Linked DNA regions of Neodiprion lecontei. The protein of the gene in region 2 binds, or shares a complex with, the protein of the main gene of each other region. Links are inferred from orthologs where the notes say so. Each region holds a gene or a part of one and is shown on either strand. Other genes may lie near its edges.

What was found.
Region 1: the proteins of translation initiation factor eIF-2B subunit epsilon (region 2) and translation initiation factor eIF-2B subunit delta are in contact, whole or in part, in a cryo-EM structure (PDB 7D46), measured with the Homo sapiens proteins. The link is inferred for Neodiprion lecontei from reciprocal best matches to the Homo sapiens genes EIF2B5 and EIF2B4. Residues at the interface, in NP_003898.2 of Homo sapiens: Arg163, Lys294, Arg339, His340, Glu357; in NP_001029288.1 of Homo sapiens: Arg357, Tyr393, Pro396, Glu397, Lys466, Arg467, Glu469.

The regions. Positions count from the first base shown.
Region 1 is NC_060263.1:22,846,741-22,859,884, reverse strand, and holds translation initiation factor eIF-2B subunit delta, read right to left. Parts: upstream 9,101-13,144; 5' UTR 8,942-9,100; intron 8,636-8,941; 5' UTR 8,592-8,635; coding exon 8,580-8,591; intron 6,540-8,579; coding exon 5,939-6,539; intron 5,085-5,938; coding exon 4,174-5,084; intron 4,100-4,173; coding exon 3,972-4,099; intron 3,584-3,971; coding exon 3,406-3,583; intron 3,153-3,405; coding exon 2,972-3,152; intron 2,792-2,971; coding exon 2,583-2,791; 3' UTR 2,407-2,582; downstream 1-2,406. Other genes in the region: 60S ribosomal protein L19, read left to right, coding at 1,166-1,492. UniProt on the Homo sapiens protein: Acts as a component of the translation initiation factor 2B (eIF2B) complex, which catalyzes the exchange of GDP for GTP on eukaryotic initiation factor 2 (eIF2) gamma subunit.
Region 2 is NC_060261.1:15,629,651-15,642,990, reverse strand, and holds translation initiation factor eIF-2B subunit epsilon, read right to left. Parts: upstream 7,948-13,340; 5' UTR 7,547-7,947; intron 7,461-7,546; 5' UTR 7,311-7,460; coding exon 6,615-7,310; intron 6,187-6,614; coding exon 4,936-6,186; 3' UTR 2,533-4,935; downstream 1-2,532. Other genes in the region: rabphilin-3A, read left to right, coding at 605-732; actin-related protein 2/3 complex subunit 3, read left to right, coding at 8,631-8,636, 9,011-9,187, 9,278-9,473, 9,595-9,749; small nuclear ribonucleoprotein Sm D3, read left to right, coding at 12,131-12,446, 12,695-12,807. UniProt on the Homo sapiens protein: Acts as a component of the translation initiation factor 2B (eIF2B) complex, which catalyzes the exchange of GDP for GTP on eukaryotic initiation factor 2 (eIF2) gamma subunit.

The DNA.
Region 1 (13,144 bases), on a different chromosome or scaffold from region 2:
CTTGGAGCCCCTTCTTAAATATATACTTAACAAGACCAAGCAAATGGAAATTTTCATTTTTTTGTCAACTTTCAAAAATCATAATGAACGGAATGAACAACTTTTAAAAACTTTTATAACTTTAATATATTTGGCCATAATTTACCTAGGTTACTATAGTTTTTAGCGATTTCTGCACAAATTGTGCATCAAAATGTTAGGGAAAAATAATGATTTTAGTCAGGGAAAACCGGGAAATGTCAGGGAATTCCGTGAGCGGAATTGAGTGGCCACCCTGATTACTCGTGTTCAGAAAAAGTCTCGTGTATTTCCCAACATTGTTTGCTTTGAGCTCCACACACTTGGTCTAGCAGTGTTCCAATTTTTGAATTTTTTGGTAAAAAAAGTAAATGTCGAGCCCTTCAACATACTTGTTGACCCCTTCATTTGACGGAAGCCAACTATTGCAATGGTCAAACTGCATGAATTGTGGGTTTGTATTATCGCTCATCCTATACCCTATCCTCCAGAATTGACCTCTCCTGACTTGTTCATATTTCCAAACCCAAAAATCTGGCTTGGGGATATTTTTTCTTTTCAAACAAAGTGATTGTTGTTTGGAACGAGTACGTTGATCTCAAAACTTCCAACTTTCCCGCGATTAAAAATGGAAATACTGCTGAACGAAGTGCGAAGAGTTCGCAGAAATCGATTTTGAGACTTAGTCGCCCGGCAAAAAGGTTATTTTCATACTTTTTTTCTATACCTACCAAAGTACCTACACATTATAGACTGCACAGTATTTTATTCTACCTATTTACAAAGATGAACCTATACAAAATATGAATGTAAAGAAACGGAACACCCTCATCAAATTTTCGATACTGAATTACCTTTTTGGAAACTAACGGGTTTCACATGAGAAGTTACACATCAGATCAACATGTTGTTAAAGCATATTGCAATTTTCAATAAGACTTTATAGATCCAATCAAAAATTACGATCAAACATTATTACCGACCTCTTGTAATAATTGTTGAGGACATGAATTATACATATGATTTCTCTCATATCCTTCGTCGAAACGTATCAGCGCCTTAACTATTACTAAAGCTGAAAGAAACAACACAAATATTGCATTAAGGTCTTGTTTAGTAGACTAAATTAATGTTGTTTGTTGGATAGGATTTATGGATTCAACGTATGAGAGTCCTTCGGCGCTTGCTGAAAAAGTACCGTGAGGCGAAGAAAATTGATCGCCATTTGTACCATTCGTTGTACATGAAGGCTAAAGGTAACGTCTTCAAAAACAAGCGTGTTCTTATGGAATTTATCCACAAGAAAAAGGCTGAAAAGGCTAGGACCAAAATGTTGTCCGACCAAGCTGAGGCTCGCCGTACAAAGGTTCGGGAAGCACGTAAACGCAGGGCTGAGCGCATTGCCACTAAGAAACAAGAACTCCTGCAGTCCTACCAGCGTGAAGACGAAGCAGCTGCAGCACAGAAAAAATAACTTAGACCATCTGACAATTTTATTGTATAAATAAATTTAAAAAAAACTAATATACATGAGTGACATTTGTATATCATCACCCTTCCTTAATCTCATCTTAAATCATGCTGAATCTTTTCTTTTCAGTATATTAATTCGCTGCCTGTAGTGTCTGTACACTAAGATAATTTGTGTTGAAGGTTCTATTTAAAGCCATTTGTCCATGTAAATTGACTTACAATTAGCAAATCTGGAATTCATGAAACCAATTAAGGCTTGCGATTGGGTAATTGATAATGACATCTCGAAAACTAAGTCAATACCGTCCTAGGTATAGTTAACAACAAATAAAGGTTGCTAGTTCTACTTTACATTATACAGACAGTGTTTGAAACAGATGGTAGTGGGATTAGTTGAAATTGACGAAACCGCAAGCTTTTATTTGCTATGCTTAAATCTTGAAAAAAAAATCTATCTGAGATGTATATTTTTCCTCATTTGACACATCTCGTTGCACCTACTACTATGTGTACTCTTGCTTTTGTGTTTACAAATTTTTTGTAAGAAATTTCCCAAAAATTTACAGAGGTAGTAGTCATAATAAAAGTTAAGTTAATATTGTAGTTCCGGAAATTGGAATTTATGAATGTTTTATGGTTTATAGTTTGAGATATTTCGATCTGCAGGGTATTCTTGAGCCGCTGTTGCCTTACAGCAGCCTTTTCCAACTTTTCACAACTGCGGACCCCTATGACGTAAGATAATAAGTATATATTTGGGTTAAGAGTTTGACATTGAGATGAGTCGGCGAACCTCAGGTTGGGAAAGGTTGCCTTACAGGATTACTAACAAATTTTTCTGGTTCCGCTCTTGCAGATTCCGCTAAACTAGAAGTTGGCTGCAAAACGGCCCCTGCAATACCAGTACTAGGAACATTTGATTTTAGAAAACATTTATTCGAAAGTATTCAAAACAATGTACATTTTAATACATTTAATTTCATAAATATGAACAGTTCAACTGATTGCAAGACTAAGTTTACATCATAATTAAGGTTCATGATAACAGTAATGTTGGTTTGAAGTAAAAACAGTACTGCATAAATATAAACTTAAATTTCGGATGGTTTGATTCGGAGTATAACTGGAATACTAGTACAAGGTAGGATCGCTAATTCAGTAACTACTGCTGATACCAAGTCAGCGGGGGTAACATCAAATGTTATATTCAGCAGATCCAAAGATTTCTTTGTTTTCCAATTGGTAAGCACAGATTTCTTGGCATTGTTTGACCAATGGTAAGCTAGTTCATCTGCATCACCTGAAATAACAAACAACATGCAATATTAGAAATTTCAATTACTGTAGAAATATCATTGCTCTTAATTAGATCTAGAGGTTGCTGAATAAAAAATATTCCACACAGGATGAACATATTTCAATCTTTCGGGAGTGACATATGTTATAACAAGTTTGTAGTGCCTTTAAGAATTATATTCACCAATTTCATTGTAGACAAAAGAATCTGTTTGAACACGCTCGCACGACTTGTGCGTTTCACAGGCAACTAAGACGGGCACGTTGAATGCCTTTGCCATGAGAGCGACTTGCGCTGTGCCTGCTCTCGACATCACAGCACCATTTGCCAGAATTGCATGTGCTCCCAAAAATACTTTACTGACCTATAATAATGGTTACACATACCAGGTGAATCATGCTATTTCTTACATAAGCTATATAATGTTACAGAAATTTATAACATTTGAGGCTTTTAGAAATATGTCGTAAGTTATTTTTCGATTAAAATTCATATATTTCTCCCTTACACTTGTTGCCTAATTGATTAATGATACTTTGGATCCAAAAAAATTAGATGCAAAAGTCAAGTGTCTCATTATATCGAGCTTAAATGCAATGGTAGAGACAGTAACTTACCTCAGGCATAATGAAACTAAGCGCGTTGATTAATACGTAGGAACATTCGATCCCATGTCTCACAAGTCGCCTCATTTGTTCTTTTCCCTCCAACCAAGGCCTACCGTCGACTATAATAACTCTGAACTGTTTACGATCCTTATGTGCTTCAACTAGTATGTTGTGAATTAGAGATGAACTAAAAAGCAGTACGATTAATGCATTATTTTATCGATTTTATTCATTTAACTTACTAGTTTGGTCAGTACTATTCCCAAGTTCTGGATAAGTAGTCCATGTTCTTTCATCGCGTTTTATATTCATAAAATCTAATTACATTTGGTGTGTGTTAATACAAGATCATTGAATTACTCATATAGTAAAACTCTTTTGCAACAAACGCAATTACAAGTATTTATTCTTTTGTCAATCGGTATCCGTAAAGCTGCAAAAAAACTTGAATTTAAGTTCTTTTTGCGTTTAAAGATTTATAGTCCAAAAAATTAGGCTCAACCAAAGATTCTTTGAAGTATGACATAAACGAAAAGAAAAAGCTTTATGCAAGAAAGTAATTTATAAAAACTTACAATGCATAAGTCAAGATAACATCACCATTGGATATCTTCGATTTTATGGTGTCTGAAATTGCTTTTCCAGCAAGTTCAATTTGTTCTCTAATATACGTATCAATAGCATCTTGCAATTTTGTTTTAGCCTGAAATTTTTCTACATGAAAAACATAATCGATACGTGAACAGATGAACTGAAATATTTAGAACAAACTCTTACGTCCTCATCTGAGATGGTTGTTGATAATTGACTCATTTGCCACTTGAGATGTTTCAAAGCATTTTGCATAGAAACTGCTATTGGTCTACAACGGTGTAAGTAAGCTGCACTTTCTTGTAAGCTAGCTTCTAAGCCTCTCGTAAAATCGACTTGTGGAGGTCGTTCAAAATCATCGATGAGCTGTTTAATCGCAGACAACAACGCGACACATCTTGCGTTACTCCCAACGATTATTTTGTTCGCATACTGGACTCCTAGTCTAATTAGTGCAGGGTGTATACTAGAGTTCAGTGTAGGAACATTCACTAACGGCGATTGCCTTTCACGATACAAATGTTTAAAAAGTTTCACTTCATGTAGGTGACTATCTGACTGGTTTTTTTTCACAATATTCTTAACAGGCTCCAATAAATCATGTGAGGCTTTTAATTTGGGAGGTTCAACTGTCTTTTGCTTATTTTTTGGTGCCATCTGCATTTCTTTGGCAGCTCTTTGAGCCTCTTGTTTAGCTCTACGCTCAGCTCGGGCCTCTCGTTTACATTTTTCACCAGTCGCTTTAGTTACTAATTCATTTTTTTTATCACTTGCACTGGAGACTATTTCACTCTCTGTTCTTTTGAGTATTTCTTTAGGTGGTACAGCATCTTTATCAACAACAAATTCTTTCACACCTTTTTCAATAGCATCAGCAGGAACAATCTTAGTTTGTGTATCCTGGCTGTTTTTAACATCAATTGTTTGCTTGGTTTTCGGCGTTTTTGCTTTACTCTTAGCCAAAGCCTTTGCTGCTTTCTTAGCTTCGCGTTCTGCCTTGACTTGTTCTCTAGATTTTTCCATCATCAGATTTATTTTTCCTTCCGACTTTACAGAAATTTGACCATTGGCTAGATCAATACTGACGTCACTGTGCCCTATAAGGTTTTTTTTTTATTTTTATTTTTTATTTACGCATAAAATACTTTTATCAGTACTTAAACATGGTATATCACAGTCTTGGATTAAGTTAATTGAAAAGTGACCGTCAGATTTCTTAGTGTTAGTTAAGGTTAAATAATCCAAATACGTTAAATGTTATGGAATTGTTGCCCTCTGACTTTTATTATTGTTTTGAATTTCTTTGTTCGAAATTATTTGTTCTTGAACAGGAAAAACTTTGTGATCTCAACCGCAATTTGAACTCATACAGGACATTAAATCTGGACTAATATTTGCTTTTCAGTTTTACAGTTAAGCGAATCATTACACTTTTCGGATGAGTATTGGAAGAAGCCGTTAAGTTTGGTACTTTTGCATTTGTTTGCAACACAAAATGGCAGTTCGAGATGTTGATAATAAAATTTCTTTCATTTCCAATCAATTTAGCAGTTTATTCAAATATAAATCATTGTTCAATAAATTATTATTACTTGAGTTACTTGCTTTAGGTCACAATTACATAAATCACTTTCTACTTTGCTATCGTTTGTCTCACTGAGCTGAGATTCTGGATTTTGTTCACCTCTTTTAACATTGTCATGACTTCTACTTGATGCAGTTGTATAGTAATTTGCAAGCTTGACACTATTTATTAATCAAACAATACCCAAATTTTTGTTAAAGGATAATGATTCACTTTTCCGCAAAATCTGATTATTATCACAAGATCTGGAATAGATATCATTTTTCAAACAAGATTGAAATAATTCGTTATTAAGCTCAGAATTTTTATTGTTTTCGTTAAGGTTCAACGTTATACTGCTTCCTGGATTATCATCAACCAACTCACCTTCAGGTGAAATTTCAAAGTCTGAATGTGGCGGATTTTGACAATGGCCACGAATATGCCAATCGCCAGGACTCTCAGACTTATTTATATTTTGTTTTTTATTCAAGCTCTGATCATTTGAGACAGTGTTTGAAGTACAAGTTTTTTCGTAGATTGATGGTGTACTGCTCCCTCTAGAAGTGCTCTTACATGCATCATCAAGGACGGCTTTTGACGCTTGTTTTTTTAATTCAGAAGGCAAGAAATTAGGTTTGTTATAATTTGTCACCGCACTTTGATTAAACTTCTCATACTCCGAGACATCACTCAAGGATAGATTATTGATTGATAATTCGGATTCTATTTTAGATTCAAGCGTATCCTTGTCAGTTTGCAGTGCCTGACTTGGATCCTTGGCTAACTTGGCTTTCTTTTTTTTTCGTAACCTTTTGGCTTTTGATTTGGTAAGTACATCAGTTCCCTCTATGATGATATTTTGTTCTGTATCTAAGTGACTTAGCGATGAGCTATCATTTGCTGATTTACGTGCAGCAATAAGACGCTTACGACGTAAATGTCTTGCTTTGGAGCGACTGACCCGTTGTTTTGCTTCTTCAGTTGACTAAAAATTGCATTAGAGTAAACAAATAAGTAGCCTGAGGATATTGAACCTTTACTTACTTATAGATAACATATAAGATAACAGCACACCTTCTGACACAGAAATTTTGTGAGGAAGCAAAATACATATTTAAGATTAGTGCTATTCTACAAAGTAACCAATGATCAAAATAGTAACATTTTAGTAAAATTGATGTAAAAATATGAAAGATGATGTATTTAAAATGATGCTTGTTAAACACTCATATACATCTTACATTCGCGCTCAAATCCATCAAATTAAAAAATTTCATCAACAGGGGCCATACTAAACAAGTTGAAGGAAAATTTTGTAACATATTTGGTTGACCAAAACACAATCAGGGATTCTGAGCATGACATCTGTTCTACCAATACAGTTGGGTTTTCAAAAGGTCGTGGCTATATAAGTTCAGAAAGTAAGTCAGGCTTCATACATAAGCTATAACGAGAAATTTGATGAAAATTGTGGGTGACATTGTTTTTCAACAAATACGGCTTCAAAGCTACTGTGATAATTTTATTTCATAAGATAAATAGTTAGGTCGAATTATAGGTATTAAACTAAACTTAACGAATTTTATTAATTATAATTGAACTGACCCAGTGTCTCCATCAATCCACATTCTTCAATAGATTTCCGCAACGAAGCATTAAATTTGAGCCACGTAATTTAGAAATATAAAAATGTCTGAGTAATATTCATATTATATAAACATAAAATTCTTAATACTTTCACCCTTACACATGTAATTTTACGGATTTTTAAATCGGGTTCAATATAAATTATTTTCTTCAGAATTGGTCTGGTGACAAAAATGTCCATAATATTAATAAAAAAGCGGTTATGAGATATACATGAGCTGCAGATAAACCATGAAAACCCTGTTACATCATACTCTGCATATTAGAGTGGAGCGAAGCAAAATTTTTTATTATTAATTGTATTGTACTACTACAAATTGTGTTATTACAGGTAATTTGCCATCAATTGTAAATACAATAACTCATCACCTAATCTTTGTTGTCTAAACCAGATACGTGGAATATGATGTTCCAATGCTTATTGTTGGTGAAAGAAAAATATTTAAAAATGGAGAGTAAAACAAAGTCATCAATAATTTTTTGAAATAAATCTGTAGAATTATTACAATGATTTGAGGGGAAAAATTGCCAAAGACACTATAATAGTAGATTGTTTACCAAGGAAGCAAAGTAGGTAATTTCATACGCCAAGCACAAATTTGCAATATGTCTGCACAATGCAAAAAACTTTTGTAACATGTTGCAATAGACAAAAGAAATGGAATGTTTCGCTCTATGTTATTATGCACAGCATGAATCTGAATATGCAATTGCGATTAATTACAGCATTCAAAGAAAATAGTATTACGTTGAAGACTTAGGCTTGCAACTCTACAAGATTGAAATAATGCAGTTAGGTTATAAATCGGAGCTGCAAGCCAAACTTTAGATTAATGAGAAAATTCACAGCATGTCTAGCAGTTGAGTAATGCCAAATTCTCTGAAATTTTCAGATCTTACAGAACCCAATTAGACTGAATAAAAATGCCGTCTTTTATACTGCTCAAGTATGTCGATCATACAATGTGGAATGGATGTGTAACTTGTATGCATTTGGAAATGTGCATTTTGGTATGGATGATTTGTGCAGAAGATTTGTAGTCGTGTGACTGAGGAGGCTCACCATATAATTATTGTATTTTACTATAGGCGCTGATGTGTTTTTTGTTTTTGTTATTTGAGTTCGCATGTAATTTGAATCAGAAAAGCTGCCGGATTTTAAAAGGTAATCCAGTTTGAAGGGCTATTTGATCACAATCAATGAAATAACATGCAGCAAATGAAACAGCTCAATCATATCGTATTGAGAAACCGAGAATTGATAATTACATGATGTAAATACAAAACTGTGAAATTCTATAAATGATACAAACTTCTATTTGCAAATTTACCCTGACCGCTAGACACCCTGCTTACTCTACTGTAAGCTATTGTATACCTGCTGCTCCATCGTCACTTTATCAATGGTCAGACTTGGATACAAATAGTGCCCGTCTATGAAAACGATATAGAAATATCAAAACTTGTTGTAAGAGCTAACTGGTTTGAAAATGAGAAACAAGAGATAATTGGCCTCGAAAATAGACACAAGTATCTCACAAAAAAGACAATTAAATGGACTGAAGATTGTTGAGCAACTTTCGGTCAACGTAACACGTGCTGTGACGAAAATTACTATTGCATTATATTGCAAATAATTTCTAACCTATCGCGCGACAAATTGTATTTGAATTTTATAAGTTTGGATAAAGAAATTAACATTTTATGTAGAGGTGAAATTAGATTATAGTGGCATCTTACCTTGGTTAACGATACACGTCAAAACAAATTCGTGACTTTTTGGGAGTATGAAATTTTTACGGTTATGACGAAGACTTTGCGCATATGTTTGCCCACTTTCACAGGCGTCGACGCTACTAGACCTTGGACGTTGACTGAAGAATATAAAGACAGTTGCCTTCAGTTGCCTTTATGGGCTTTGGTGTGACAACCGAAAATCGTCGTGCGCTTGCGCCCCCTGAGATGTTCCAACGACAGTAAGTTGAGAACTTATTGCAGAACATCAGAGTTGTCGATTTAGACACGATGCTGGCTGTATTCACCTTCCGAGTAACACAGTCTTGGCAATGGTTAAGCCCAAGCCAGTACTTAGCCTGTGTGTACGTACCGACTTGCAGCGTTACCGACTTGTCGGCGATACAAGAAATTAACAATAAGAATAAATAGCTTCAAAAATTTGTAGCAAAACAGTGATTTAATTGAAGTATAGATACCCGCAGAAAGAACGTATACGTAATGATGCAGAGACCAAAAAGTATATCTGTATATGCGGTCCATGTACGATATTAATATATGTCGGAGTATCACAAATCTTGTTTAATAATTCCATTTTAAAATGTATTTAGTCTTTAAGAATAAAACGATATTTCATTTGAAATTAAACTCTCGATGAGTCCACCGTATCAAGCATCAAGCGTTATTAGCAAGCTACGAGTATAGCTGAATGACGGAATCTTAGCAATAAACAAATGGTTTGTTGATAACAACGCATAGACGAAATCGACAGTCACGGGTTAGCTAGCGAGCATACCGGACGTGTTCGGGATCGTCACGCTCAAATATGAATGATCCACGCCAGAATGAACACTTTACATCTTCTCCGCCTTTCCGAGGCTTTACTTCGACATATATATATGATCCATTTATGATTAATACGTGATGCATACTGTGAATTTGATAATTTTCCAGGAGACAAACTACATTAACTACAATAATACGTCTATGATATGAAAATAGAAGAATTATTCATTTCGAACTGAGATTCTATTCGACACGCGCACGACGTATTCCATAACATTAATATTCCGATGTATTCCATAACATAAATATTCATAAATATTCCGACAACTTTTCATTTGCTCTCTCGATCTTGGATTTTCGTAGGCATAGAATCGAAACGCTGTTTTAGCTAGTCGCAAGTGAAGTATCTACGTTGGGTAGAGAAGCTGAATAGTTTTTCGAAAAGTGTTCGGATGGAAAAAAATTCAGAGTAACTGTAATACATCACGGATGCGCCAATTTTGATTGATGAAATGGATTCTCCGTACATGAGACAGTATTTAACGCAGCGTAGTGATTTAAAGACCTAAGAAGGTGACAGGAAAAAAAGGAACGAGGCTTCTTAACGCTTCGAGTGTATTTTAACACACATTTGAAAGATACGAGCAAAATTTTTCATCATCCAACTGTCGCAGAACGGCAGCGTTATTAGCCGACCCGTTCACTGAAGAATATATCTTCAGTCAACGGCTGACCATCGAAGGGCCTGGCCGCTTGAGTCTGGAATCGGCAGGAGAGATGAAGTGTGTATTTCTTGTGTGAAACGTGAAAACTAAAAGCATTATTCATCATATCATATCATCATACATCATACATCGTACATCGTACATCATACATCATACATCATACATCGTACATCATACATCATCATACATAGTATCAAAGTTCGAAACCATAGTTTGGATGTCGGACGTTCAGAAAGTGACGTCACCAATTCAAAATCAGCTAGTCGAATTCCTCAGTCTGGAACGAACCGCGCAGTAGAGCGGACGGATGAGAGTCGCGCTCCGCAAATTTCGAGTACCGGGTTCTCAACCTCCCGGATCCCGCGCTTCGGGTCCGCTACGTATTTCGAGTACCGGGTTCTCAACCTCCCGGATCCCGCGCTTCGGGTCCGCTACGCGGTGAAACTCGACTTCCAGGATAAGCGCTCCGTGGTTCCTGGTTCATGTTTACAATAAATTATTTCAATTCGTTTTTCGCGCAACCCCAAATTCGGTAGCTGTCAGTCCGCTAATAAAATTTCTCGACTTCCAGAATAAGCGCTCCGTGGTTCCTGGTTCATGTTTACAATAAATTATTTCAATTCGTTTTTCGCGCAACCCCAAATTCGGTAGCTGTCAGTCCGCTAATAAAATTTCTCGACTTCCAGGATAAGCGCTCCGTGGTTTCTGGTTCATGTTTACAATAAATTATTTCAATTCGTTTTTCGCGCAACCCCAAATTCGGTAGCTGTCAGTCCGCTAATAAAATTTCTCGACTTCCAGGATAAGCGCTCCGTGGTTCCTGGTTCATGTTTACAATAAATTATTTCAATTCGTTTTTCGCGCAACCCCAAATTCGGTAGCTGTCAGTCCGCTAATAAAATTTCTCGACTTCCAGGATAAGCGCTCCGTAGTTTCTGGTTCATGTTTACAATAAATTATTTCAATTCGTTTTTCGCGCAACCCCAAATTCAGTAGCTGTCAGTCCGCTAATAAAATTTCTCGACTTCCAGGATTAGCGCTCCGTGGTTCCTGGTTCATGTTTACAATAAATTATTTCAATTCGTTTTTCGCGCAACCCCAAATTCGGTAGCTGTCAGTCCGCTAATAAAATTTCTCGACTTCCAGGATAAGCGCTCCGTGGTTCCTGGTTCATGTTTACAATAAATTATTTCAATTCGTTTTTCGCGCAACCCCAAATTCGGTAGCTGTCAGTCCGCTAATAAAATTTCTCGACTTCCAGGATAAGCGCTCCGTGGTTCCTGGTTCATGTTGACAATAAATTATTTCAATTCGTTTTTCGCGCAACCCCAAATTCGGTAGCTGTCAGTCCGCTAATAAAATTTCTCGACTTCCAGGATAAGCGCTCCGTGGTTCCTGGTTCATGTTTACAATAAATTATTTCAATTCGTTTTTCGCGCAACCCCAAATTCGGTAGCTGTCAGTCCGCTAATAAAATTTCTCGACTTCCAGGATAAGCGCTCCGTGGTTTCTGGTTCATGTTTACAATAAATTATTTCAATTCGTTTTTCGCGCAACCCCAAATTCGGTAGCTGTCAGTCCGCTAATAAAATTTCTCGACTTCCAGGATAAGCGCTCCGTGGTTTCTGGTTCATGTTTACAATAAATTATTTCAATTCGTTTTTCGCGCAACCCCAATTTCGGTAGCTGTCAGTCCGCTAATAAAATTTCTCGACTTCCAGGATAAGCGCTCCGTGGTTCCTGGTTCATGTTTACAATAAATTATTTCAATTCGTTTTTCGCGCAACCCCAAATTCGGTAGCTGTCAGTCCGCTAATAAAATTTCTCGACTTCCAGAATAAGCGCTCCGTGGTTCCTGGTTCATGTTTACAATAAATTATTTCAATTCGTTTTTCGCGCAACCCCAAATTCGGTAGCTGTCAGTCCGTTAATAAAATTTCTCGACTTCCAGGATAAGCGCTCCGTGGTTCCTGGTTCATGTTTACAATAAATTATTTCAATTCGTTTTTCGCGCAACCCCAAATTCGGTAGCTGTCAGTCCGCTAATAAAATTTCTCGACTTCCAGGATAAGGTTGCTGGGTGAGTAAAACACTTTTATAATATTTGATGGCAATTGTAATTATATTTCATCTGAAATATTACAAACTTGTCACGTTTACAATAAATTATTTCAATTCATTTTTCGTGCAAGCACATATTCAGTAGCTATAAATAATCTTATACAATTTATTATATTATTAATTAATTAATTAATATTCTTATAATATTTAATGGCAATTGTAATTATATTTCATCTGAAATATTACAAACTTGTCACGTTTACAATAAATTATTTCAATTCATTTTTCGTGCAAGCACATATTCAGTAGCTATGAATAATCTTGTACAATTTATTATATTATTAATTAATTGATTAACTACATTAATCCTTACACAATATTTTTGATGTGTTCCTATACTAAAAATATTCATTACTATTCCAGGTATTACCCGAGGTGGTCGGAGGTGGACGAGGAGGACGAGCTGGACGAGGAGGAGGACCAGGTGGACGAGGAGGAGGACGAGGTGGACGAGGAGGAGGCGGGGTGGGTCGTGGGAGAGGACCTCTCCTCTCCTCAGAGGAGGGGAGGGGGAGGGGCAGGGAAGGGGGAGAGGTGGGAGGGGAGGGGGAAGGGAAGGGAAGGGAAGGGAAGGGAA
Region 2 (13,340 bases):
TGGTTGGGAGAAAAAAACCGCTTCTTTCTCAGAATAATTTATTTAAAATTTACTATAACTATGAGATTTTTCGGGGCGAGAATTTTTCCGAGATGTAATGCATATTCGAAGCAAAATTGTTTTATTTCAAAACAAGTACATATTTTATTCATTGAGAATGAAATAAGCAGGGTAAAATGCCTTAGAATGGCCAACACATTTTTTCTTCATTTTCCCCCTTGAAAGTACAATCGATCTCCATCAATTCCATACAAAATTAATATTTTTCCTTAATGATTAGTTGTTTCAGTAAAATAATAACATTAAAAGATAAAAATCACGTATATTTTAAATGGAAAACTGCGTCGTTACAGCGGATGGTAAAAATCAAGTTAGGATATTCATATTGGGCTCAAAACTTTTGTTTTTTTATTTCAAAACAAATGATGGGAGTGGTGGGCACAGTTGAAATTCGAACATTGGACAAATAAGAATCATCCTAAGATACACACTTACCTGTATAAATTGCTGCTTGTACATATTTTCACTGTTTTCGATAGAGGAAGAATCTATAATCGAGTTATTTTGCGTGAATCCACTTGCATGCGCGGTTTTTACTTTAAAGGAGGTCTCATACTGAGCTGCAGCAGCAAAGGAGAGCGTCTGAGACATTGGATAGACGCAATCAAATTCCCGGACCATCGCCATCAAGCATGGCACAGTCTGCAAGAGGATCCCATCCCAACAGAATGAGTAGTCACTATAAATCGTGAGCTAATAATTTGTTACGATGTGCACTATACGCAAGTATAAGGTTATCGCGAAAACATGTCGCAATATAATATTGTAAGTCTCGTGAGTATAATTACATTCCGTGCCAAAGTAATTTGTTTACTCTGCAACTGACGTGAAGTAAAATTTTTGCAATGCAAGATGAGTCTTTATGCTGAATCTGTAACAACCAAGTTGAAATCGAAGGATTTATTCAAAGTCACTCAAGATCTCTGTTTCTAGTAAATAAACTGGCGATGGGCATTTTCTATTAAACAAAAAAATTATAATTAATTAATAAGGTATAAATGTTTGCCGAATGTATAAACCGTGGTGCGCATATAATAAGTGATAAACTCAAAATCTGATTGAATTTTTTTCAAATTTTTGTGTCACGTCAATGAAACTAGGGATTGCCAATTTCTTATTTATAACAAGTTGAATGATGATAAAGTTTAGTGCAATATTAATCTTTACATGCTAATCGAATAAAAAGTAATTCAATAGTTCGCTAGATTGTAGTGTGATTTTTTTGGATCATAAAAGATGAATTTGTAGGCAAGAAAAAAGGCCTCATAATTTAGTAAATGATGAAGGACGTGAGTCACAGGCAGACTGATTCGGATTGTTTGAATTGTGACCCATATTCTCAACATTGAATTATGTGGTTTGATACTCTTATATAGATGAAAATTGTTGACATTAAAGTCTCCTTCCAGCCATTGTAACAATGACAAATATTATTACACATAAATCGATTTATCTAAGCTGTTCAAGATATAAAATGAAACATGTTGAAAGAAAATATATACTTAGATACATATATTTATTATGTATAATGTACACATTAGAGTGGCCGTTGTTTCAGCTTTGGCAAAACTTTTTCGGTCACCGCTTAAGAATGTGATCAAAATGTGTGTGAAGTTTGAAAGCGTTCAAATAATTTTAACCCGTGCCGTCGAGCGATTAAAATTTTAGCTGAAAAATGTATACATGTTTTCGATACCAATCCTTGAATATATATTGCACACATAATACCAATCGTAAAAGTCGAAAATTTGGTAATCTTTCTACTTACAAACATTACAAAGATAATACAGATGGGTATTTTTAATTTTTCAAATTTTTTGATCACGGCTCAAAAAATCTACAAAAATAGGATTTCATATCTCATAGTGTGCCAAGTTAAAAATTCTTTTCACCGATATTATACTGCATGTCTAATAGCATAAGGTCGCAAAACGCTCTCTGACGACCTTTTGTGGCTGAAAAAGGCAAAGGGGCGTATAATTTTTTTTTTCATCGTATCCAAGCTTAAAGCATTAAAATATGGTCAGAAACGTTGAAATTGAATTAAAATTTAATAATGATCAAAAGGAAGGTCGTGTGTCCTGATAGATACGAGCTTCTAGATTCAACCATAAAAATGTTGACTAATTGTAAGACGACTAGTTCCTTAAGATTGCATCTGCTGAAAATAAATTTTTTCACTTTTCTCAGGCTCAAGTATTAATTCATCAACTAAAAGCGAAAGGTCGTACGTACTGATAGATACGACCGTTAGGTTCTGGTAAAATTTGAAAAAATTATCTACTACGGTAATTGCATAAAGGCGTAACTGCCAAAAATTATTATTTTGTTATTCCTGTCATTCCGGTAATTGATGATTCGGATAATCGATGTTCAGAAAATTGACATGCTCACTGTTTAACTTTTTGTTTTTATTGTCGAGGATTAAAAATTTTTTAAAGATTTCTGAATTGTTGCAGATTTTGATTCATCTGTGGGATCTAGTGGTTTTTTTTTTTTTTTATTTTCTTTAAGATGGCTGCGACCTTTTGTTCTGACCTTTTTTTTCGTGTATACTTATTAGTGGAAAAAAGTTGTATCTGCTGAACATACGACCATTTGCCTTTATATTTTCAAATGCTTGATTTCAATTGAATTATACGTTTTGATTATTTTAAGAGCGAATGGTGAAAAGAAAAAAGTTATACGCCCTTTTCCTATTAAAATCGCATTTTTGGTCGTTACAACTTTATGCCATTAGACACGCGATATGTGTAAGAAGTATGGTGCGTATTGACATCGAGAAAATACATCTATTTTTCATTTACAACGTCTACTGCTCGATGGCATGGGTATTAAATTATCCGAGCACCTGCAAACTTGAAACGCATTTTTTTTTTTTTTTTTTGCACACCTTGATTACGTTTTCGGGGGGAGCGCGAAAAGAAATGCCCAAAAGCGAAATAATGGCCACCCCAATATGCATAAATACATACAATAATAATATTATAAGCGCTGTTTTTCCTCATAAAAAATGTACAATGAGACGAGCGTCCAGTGATAAACGAATCATATGAAAATTAAATCTAGCTAAATCGCTTAGTTAATTCGCTAATAACAATAAATAGTTTAGAGAATTACGCAGTATGCTACGTAATACGCAGATTATATACATAATATTGATGATATAACGCGTCATTTTATCACAGACAATCACGTATTATACCTATTATTATATCTATATTATAAAACATAAATCAACCAGCAACAGCTCACATCACGCTTTATCACGACTATAATAGACGATAAATAAAACAATTATTGAAGTTAAACTAAGCTCTGTATTTAAAAAATTCGCATCTATGGTCAAGAAATAAAGTAATTTATTTTAAAAAATGAGACTGTAGTACATTCTCTATGTATTCAAGCCACGCTTACAATTATTAGTAATAAGACTAAAAGTTACAAATACTTCATACTCTGTAAAAAAAAAAAATAACAGATTGAACGGTATCTGAATATCTGTGTCTGCCAATTCGAAATTCCGAAAAAAAAAATAATGTATTCCGTGATGTGAAAATCATTTCAAACTAATCCGCGATAATATTACGGACCTTTCGTCACGGATTTGAACTGGATTTAAAAGTCAAGAAATCAAATAGAAAACGATCAAAACGCTAATATTTAACACGTATTAAATTTTATACGGAGTAAATTTAAATTTGTACGATAAAATCTAATAGAAATGGATAGAAAGGAAATTGTATGTACAGATTGGATCGAATTGAAGTTATGTTACAATTCAAACGCAACAAAATGGGAAGTAACTGAATCAGTAAACTCACATTCAAAACAATAGAACGATTCATTTTTATTAATTTTCGTACATGCAATAAGTTTCCTTGAAAATTTTGGCGACAAACATCAAAATGAATATTTTTTAATACGATTCAATTTTTCCGATTACTAGGCGGCTTCTTACAAGTAGGTATACTGAAAAATAAAACTCCAGAATAATTCTAATCCCAGAATTTGAACTTCAGCATTAAGAAGGAACTAGTTTTATTGGATCAATTTATTTACACGTCCGATATAATGGTTTACACACATTTACGCAAATATACATTTTTCTTGCACGATTTGTATTATGCTTTATATAATACAGAAAGGGTCAAACATTACCGTGTTGTTAGATGATGTTTGTACAGGTAAAATTTATAAAATATATTTTCCGTCGGTGCCATGCATGCATAAAAGTTGTCATATATAAGTTGAATCTTACAATTACTCAAGAATGAATTGGCCAGACCGTATGAAGCAGGTTAGAGAAAAAGAAAAACACTGTTTGAAAATCTCCAATAATCATATTTTTGCCGATGATAGTGAACACGAATGAAACACATCTCTATTAATTGTGTAAATTTCAATAGATCAATATTCAATATTAAAAATTGAAGAGAAAGTTGTCATCACTGAAGTGGAAAAAACAAAATTTTTTAGTAAAAGCACAACAGATGCTCGTCACCAATGTCACATGTGCGTTATAACTATACTACAATGTTAGCTATCTTGAATTTTTTTTTAGATAATTTATAGAGGTCTAATCAAGGAGCAGAATAATTGCAAGAAACATTAGAATCGGATCAAAACATCGGAGTTCAATCGCTTCAAATTCATGAAAAATTGTGAATATCTTAGCCTGTGTTGTTTAAATTTGCTCGAATTCATTTCTGTTACACAGTAGGGATGATGAGGTTTCATTAGAGTTTAGAGCATCATTGAAGCAACTCACATTGTTGAAAACTATTTAAAAAGTTGTTTTCTCTTTTCGTCACTTTTGATTCAGATTGACTGACTGATTCATCCTTATTATGATTTCCTTCGACAAATTTCAGGTTAGTCGCTAGAGTCTTCTTCAGCTTCGCGTAGCCATCTAACCAACGGTTGAATGTCTTTTTTCATTTTCAGTCTCACCTGTTTCTGCATAACGTCATCGTTATCCTCATCATCGAGCTCGTACCACTCAAGAATTTTTTCCTCTGACAATATATCACAATTGTATAAATTTTTGAACACAAACAGAATTGAAGATACAGTGTCCAATGTAGCAGCAGTGTCTTGAATAGCTCGCAAGCAATCTGTCTGAGCTTCATATGATTTGACATAGTTCAATATAACCATGTCAAAATACTCCAACATCAGTTTCAATGTCTTCTGGTAGCTTTTTGACGAAATTTCTGAACCAGAATTGCTGAGATACTCCATTGGTAAACTTAATACAGCTTTAACTACGTTGTAGGAAACTTCGCGAATAGTAACATTGTAAGCATATCTTGATGAATTAATTTCTAGTATCAAATTCTCGCATTTGACTTTGTCCTGATATCCTCGCATCAAACTCTCCATCACTTCTGTAAAAAACATGTGCGTATCATCAGTGAGTGGCATCTCAGCAATCGATTCTTCATCGCTGCTACTGTAGTCTTCAAGATCATCAGAATCATCGTCGGACTCGTTTGTACATGTGTATTTGAAATAGGGTAATTCTTGATCAGTGTCAGGATGAGCTTTGCTCATGGAGATGTAAGTGATACAATCATTTGAATCAATTTGCATGAGGGAATCCGTGTGAACACTTTCCAATTTCAGCTTAAATTTCGGGCCCAAAATACAGCCGTCTATCTCAACTGAATTACCCAACTCACAGCCGGAGAATAAAACTGAATTTTTAACGATACAATCATCCCCAATTCTCACTTTACCCAGCAAGTAAGAATTTTCAAGTCTCACATTATTCCCCAAGTTACAGCCTTCTCCAATCACAGAACCTGTGATGCGTGTGTTTTCTCCCACATTACTGTTTGGACATACCACACAATCCCGTTCCAATGTACAGCCCTTCCCAAGAATCGAACTGTTGTGTTTATACGTACATCTACGTAGGTACAGAAAATACATACAACTTGGCATCATCTCAATGGTTAGGGGATATCCACGTTTTTGAAGTATGTCTCTGATTAAAGTATTGTAATCCCTCCAAGATGTGACTGGCAGCGCGTATTCTTCTGGATCTAATTTTTGCCAGTAAATTCGAGAGTCTAGAATTTCCTCGTTGATTAAGACTCCTCGGATAAAGTCTTCCATGGTCTGAAAATGATGTTGAAGACATTCAGTTGATAGTAAATTCATTCCAATGTTTAGAAGGGTGTTTAAAAATTTCAAAACAATTTAATAAACCACGATTAGGTGTTAATGACAATCATAGAATAGGATGTAAAAATATCATTGAGTAACATTTTGACGTTAGTATCATTGTAACGATGTATGTCGAGAAAAATCGTTACATTATATTTTCAACACTTGATTCCTGCAAAGTTATTCTGGAATTGCAACTTATTTACTTTTTCCTCAATGTTTCGTAACGTTGACATCGCTAACTTCAGCCTTGTTCAAAAACACAATCCAAACTGACAAGTCTATTGTATTTCTAAACCCATTCTATAATATCGTATTAGAAGCTTGCGTATCACATCAAACTTTTTCAGCAGAGTTATGTGATTCTGAAAAGAACTTACCTGAAAATCGAAATTGTCAGAAAACAAGGGAAGCACCGACGCTGAGCAAAGGTAAATATGAGTTTCCAGTAAACCGCTGTGTATTCGGACACAATCGTGATCCAAGAACAACTGTAATTCCAATTTGACTTTTCTGTCTTTCTCTGAGAGTTTTTGATGAAACAAAACTTTGTTATTCGAGTTATCAGCGGCAATTAGACAAGTTTTGTTTTCTTTCACCGGAAAATTGTTAGATCCTAAATCACGGAATATCAGCGTCATCGCAGCGCCTTTGTCTTGTTTTGACTTAAATCGATGCCAGTCGAGAAGCCTCTTTAGATTGGCATTGGTGAAAGCGTCGCCTCTGATCAGGATGAAGTCGCCGCGAATGATACCTTTGCTGTCGATGTCTCGGAGAGCATCGCCAAGCGAACGGCAGCCATCAGAGACGATTAAATGTACATTGATAAGACCCTTGTAATTTTGACTTTGTACGTACGATCTCAAAGATTCAACGTGGTTACTGCAGTACAAAAATAACTCCTGTATATCGTTCCTCACTAAAGTTTCTGTCAGGTATTCCAAAAGTGGAATATGAAAAACCGGCATCAACGCACTTGGGTAGAGCGTCTGCATGGGATGTAAATTTGTGGAGAAGTCATCTGCTAGAACAACAGCCTGTCGGACCTCTTCTTTCTTCAACTCCGTCGCTGCCATTTTATTAGATATTGTACAACCGGTGATTAACCCACAACTATCTTGTTAACGATTGTTAACCCTCGATCACCCTCAGTCCATCCACAACTGTCAGCATGGAATGCGTTTATACTTCTTCTAGTTCTTCTTTCTTTTGGCTATTTCCAAGTCCTAAAGATGGCGCCGATTATTCCAGGGACGTAAGATATCGTATTTGAACAAAGGTTATCGTATTATTGGATTATATTAAAACGTACCATTAATGATGCGTAGAATATTTTAAATGTCATTATCGTAACCGTATATCCCACGCAATACTCAATTTATATGCGATTTTATGATCTTCTCTCATGTCGGCCACCCGTATGGCGCGAAAACCTGCACAATTGGATTTTTTTAAAAATCAAAGTAGATCTAGTTTCCAATAAACTGTTGTTTATTATCATGAATATTAAAATTGCAACAAATATATGCTTATCGTAGATTATCTATCGTCCTCTGTGTCTTTTGATACGTCAATGTTTGAGTATATTTTCTTACGCATTTGCAATTTTAGTACACCACTTCATTAGCGTTGCCATAAGCACGGTCTTACATACAGGTCTTGAAACTCATCAAAAGTTGCGTGGTGGGGGAAATACGCTTACGGTGCATTTTTTGTTTTTCGACGCTGCCGCCAGTTCGCACCACTGATATATATATACACGCGTGGTGCCGTCACGCCAATTGAACGGTATCCATTTTGTACAGATTCTTGTCACTTCAGATATATATATATATATATATGTATACGTGATATAGGTATATCTTCAGTCAACGAACTCTGATTCGAATTTGATTCAAATGTAAAATAAATAATTGACGTGCTCCAACACATGTGGAAAACAATATTATTTGTAAACTTAGCATTGAAATCACGTAAACTACAATGCCGTATTCGTTTTTTACGAGATGCGTTGATAATTGTAGAACGTCAATTATTTTCTGGTCATTGCAATCAAATTTGAATTGGAGTTTCAGCTTTTTCCAAAGATTCGACTCGCGGCCACCAGCGGAGTGCTGCGGGCAGCTAAGCATATTTCTTTCAACGAACACCCTAATGCACATGTGTGATAGTCACGTGACTTTCAGCAAGATTGGTAGAGGCATTCTGCGCATGTGTGACTTTTACGGTTTTATACGTATTGCGACAGTATAACTCCACTACTGACATACATGATATAGCGATATCTGGCCAGACCCCACCAGATTATAGTTTGCCTGTAATAATTTCTCCACCCTTGCGGCGTTTAATTTCATGTTTAAGAAGATAATCAATCTACGAAAAAGTATCTGTCAAACATGCCTGTGAGTCTATCCTTTTCAATTTACTCAAATTAGTAATACAAGACTTATTTCTGTCTTGAAATTGTCGATTTGGTTTTCCGCATTCAGGAGCTGTCAAATGGGTGTATCCCTTTGATATCATGAATCATAACACGGGGTCACAATTTAACAGTGTCGTTGACCTTGATCCAATCGACCTACTAACGAGATGTTGATAGTCAAAGATCACTTCAGATTTACTCTTGAAGTAAATCACGGACTATAATTTTACCTAACCTAATTTAACTGTCAACATGCTATTACCGTGTCAATAAATTCTGACGTGTTTTGCTTTTCTACTATTGATAGACTTTCTCACTTTCACATTATCATACCAATTTTGCATAAAATTTCAGGCATATCATTCAAGTTTTTTAGAAAATAACCAAACGGTTGGCAACATGGCATTGCTACCGTTCAAAACCCAGTTTCGAGGACCAGCACCGTCATTCAGTAACAAAGAATTAGATATAATAGACGAAGCTTTGTATTTCTTTAAAGCAAATGTTTTCTTTCGAACCTACGAAATTAAGGTAATTTTTTAATTTGTATAGTTACATTAAGTAATGTATGTACTGTACACTTATATTACTACCACTTCTTCGCCCTTAAATATTCTACAGAGCGAAGCTGACCGAGTCTTAATTTACATCACTTTGTACATCACTGAATGCTTGAAGAAATTACAGAAATGTGCAAACAAAAATCAGGCAACCAATGAGATGTACACCTTGGCTATTTCCAAATTTGATATTCCAGGAGAAGCCGGTTTCCCATTAAACTCTGTTTATGCTAAGCCAAATACTGCGTCTGATGCTGGTAAGACCATTGAATAACAAAATCAAACACATTTTCCTAATTTTTTCACAAATTGCTACCATTACTTCAAGTGTAACACAAATATGAATTATATTCTAAATGTTGTAATGGTTTTTTTCAGATTTAATGAGGCAATATTTACAACAGTTGCGCCAGGAAACTGGCATTAGAGTCGTAGAAAAGGTTTATGGAGAAGATGGAAAGCCCAGCAAATGGTGGCTGTGTTTCGCCAAGAAGAAGTTTATGGACAAGTCATTATCCGGACCTGGCCAATAAATTGTAAATTATCTTCTCTTACAATTCAATCCAATCGCTGTAAGATAGGTTCATTTTATGGCTCTTGTCTTTTTCTGAAGAGTGAGCTACATGTTAATTATTAATTGTTTTTCACACTTCTATTAACATCAATCAACAATTTTTAGAATTTTCCTGCAATGTTGAGTTCAATATGTTTAATTTATTAAGAAAAAAAAATATCCGGCTGATAGTTGTAATCAATTTTAAACTACTAAATGTTCCCTGTTACGAATTAGATAGGATTTCATTGGAAAAATATTGTGTGTAGGTAATTACAAATCCTGCAAACACAATATGTTTAATTAAATAAGGAAAGAAAAAAATATCCGGCTGATAGTTGTGGTCAATTTTAAATTGCTAAATGTTCCCTGTTAAAAATTAGATAGGATTTCGTTGGAAAAATATTGTATGTAGGTAATCACAAATCGGGCAAAACACACTTCAATTGTATTGTTTAATTTATTACAGATAAAAAAAATATCTAGCCGAGAATTCTAGTGGATTTTAAAGTGTAAATGTCCCTTGTTGTAAATTAGATAGGATTTTGTTGGAAAAATGTTATAGGTATGTAGATAATTACAAATCAGGCAAACAAATGGTACGCACGCATGTGATGAACCAACGGCAAAGGTAAAACAATTTGTGAAACGTATAAATATACCTACGCATATTCATCCCACGTAATATAATTTTCAATAAAAACTTTATTTTATATTGCGGATATAAAAATCGGATTTAAAAAATTCAGCCATAGCTTCATTTCCCGAAATTTCTCCGAAATTATTTTCGGCTAACATGCATTTCACGATTAGAGCATAAGTGTACGCAATACATCATCTTCAGTTAACGTGCGACGTGCTCCAAGAATTAATTTAAATCACTAACGCCTAAGGGCTCAGTCTCACAAGCCGCGACGCGGCATGCATTCGTTCTTGGCGCAGCGGAATTCGCGCTTCCAAAAACCTGCAATCTTATTGGTTGCTGGATCTGTGTTGCCGCACCGTGCTCTGTGAGACTGAGCCTTAAGCGAGGTCTTTGTATACAGGGTATACAAGTCTGAAATTGGTATTTAAATACCTAAATATCTACGCGGTAGAAGAAGCCCTGATTTTAAAGCTAGTTTATAGCCGCTGAAATCGCTGACATCGACTGATGTCAACGGGGATGTATGTAAAAAGGCTGTGTTCGTAAATTGACTGACAGTACTGAAAATTCCCTAGGACAGAGTCAGAGCTATCCACGAACTTGGTAGCGCAAAAGAGATAAAAGATTGCTGACAGTACTGTCAGTCAATTTTCGAACACGGCCAAAATAGATGTGTGTCCAAACCGCTCTTGGTGCTGTTTTCGCCACAAAATGGCTGAGCTTGGCCAATCGGATGCTGATGAACTTGCTCAAGACTTGGCACAAGATGGTGGCAAAGTTGATTGCAATTGATTGGACTAACAACTTTTGGGAACTTTGGTGACACGGAGGGTTAGACAGAGATGGACAAGAACGAATTCTTTGCCAGAGATCAAGCTATCATAGGGTTTTCGAAAAAATGCAGCTACGTACACATAAAACCTACTCATATATATTCATGCCTAATCCTATATGCTCTAAAGTCCGAAAGTGTTGACCTTGTGCGACTGCAGCGCTATCTACCAGCGAAAGAAACGAGGTCCGTTTGATCAACGAAACATTTCATTTCTTTGTAATCCTCCATATACAACGGTTCCGATGCCACTTGAGTGGGATTACTCTTACACCCGTATTCATATTCCTTCCTTGAGGAACAAGGATTCCTTCACGGAGTAGTAGGAAGGAGACAACACTCTGCGATAAAACTTGTCCCCAGTTTTAAGGTACCGTAAGTGGAATTGTCTAAATGCGATTTGAGCGCCTCTTACGGAAAAAAGTGAAATTTCCGCTATAAAATGTAAAAAAAAAGGGCGGCAATCATAACCTATAAGCCTCCGTTTTATAAACACACTCCGTAAATTAGTAAAATACGCATCTGAAGTGTATCCACGTAGAGAAATTAAAAAACGGGGACAAAACGCGTACAATTTTTTAGTATACGAGCAGTGGTGAGTGTCAGGGGGCTGAATACGGGTATTGGAGCATGTATAGTATATTATATGCTCTAAAGTAAGCCGTGATGCCGACCCATGATGCCGACGATAAGCCAAGTGGCCAAAATTCGAACTAAGTAACTCTCCGGCCATTTTCGTAAACGAAACGAAAGTGGCTGGCGTCCGTCGACAAACGTTGATGCAACGACACAGACTTCACACGGGTATAAATCCGTTTCAATCGCCAGTTTTTTCGTGAGCTAGTGAGATTTTAGTGTCGATTATCGGAACATAAGTGTCAAAATGTCGATCGGGGTGCCAATTAAAGTACTTCACGAAGCCGAAGGTCACACTATAACCTGTGAAACTAACACCGGCGAGGTTTACCGCGGAAAGTTAATAGAAGCCGAAGACAACATGAACTGTCAAATGCAAAACCTGACCGTCACTTATCGCGATGGACGCGTAGGCCAGCTAGAGAACGTTTACATTAGGGGCTCAAAAATAAGGTTCCTTATATTACCGGATATGTTGAAAAATGCCCCGATGTTCAAAAGACCCGGTGGCAAAGGCGCCGGCACTGCGGGCAGAGGAAAGTCTGCAATACTACGGGCACAGGGTTTGTTTTTTCACACCAATACAAATAGATCTAGAATCTTTCAGTTTTTCATCAAAATCGAAGTCCGTAAACATGTTTTGGCCTACTGAACATTTTATTTCAGCAATGTGGAATGCAATCCGATTCGAATTCATATTTCTGTTTGACTGGCAATGTTTCAGAGACTCATTTTTCTAACAAGTTTTGCACTTTTATGCATCAATATTCTTTTTCCAACGCAAATTATCACCGAATATATCTATTTTTAGCACGGGGCAGGGGACGAGGTCAAAACCAGAGAGGCAGAGGCACGGGTTCGGCCCCTTGGTTGAATCAGCAAAACCAACCAGGAGGTTCACAACCTGGAAGAGGAAGAGGATAAATGTTATAAGGATCATTTTTGTTTATCATTATATCTAGTGCACTAAAGTTTATTTAGTTCATACTTTTATAAGGGATGTAAAAAATAATTCCATGTAAACGTAAATTGAAACCGTACATGCCTGTGACAATATGTGTAGGCAGTGATCACTAATGATAATAACAATGTAAATTAATAAGTATTCAAAAATTTAATGTCATTGTGTTTACTCCCTTAGGACTTTGAACAAGAAAACAGACCTGGTGGAGAATACAACTGTCTTGCTGTATTGTGGTTTTCATTCATATTCCATTGTAACATCCCGTCTAATTGTAAGTCTCAACCAGAGGTACATGGGCAAATGCGAGCATTATTATGAATTTTCTTCTACATTAATTATCTTAAGACCTGAATGAAATACTAAGATAAGAGGAAAGATTGTTGAAAGAATCTTTAACTATGTTATTTGCGACAACGATTGTCAACACAAAAGAGAATATCTACTACGTTATAAAAATGCATCTGAGAGGTCTGAATAACACAAGCTATGATAT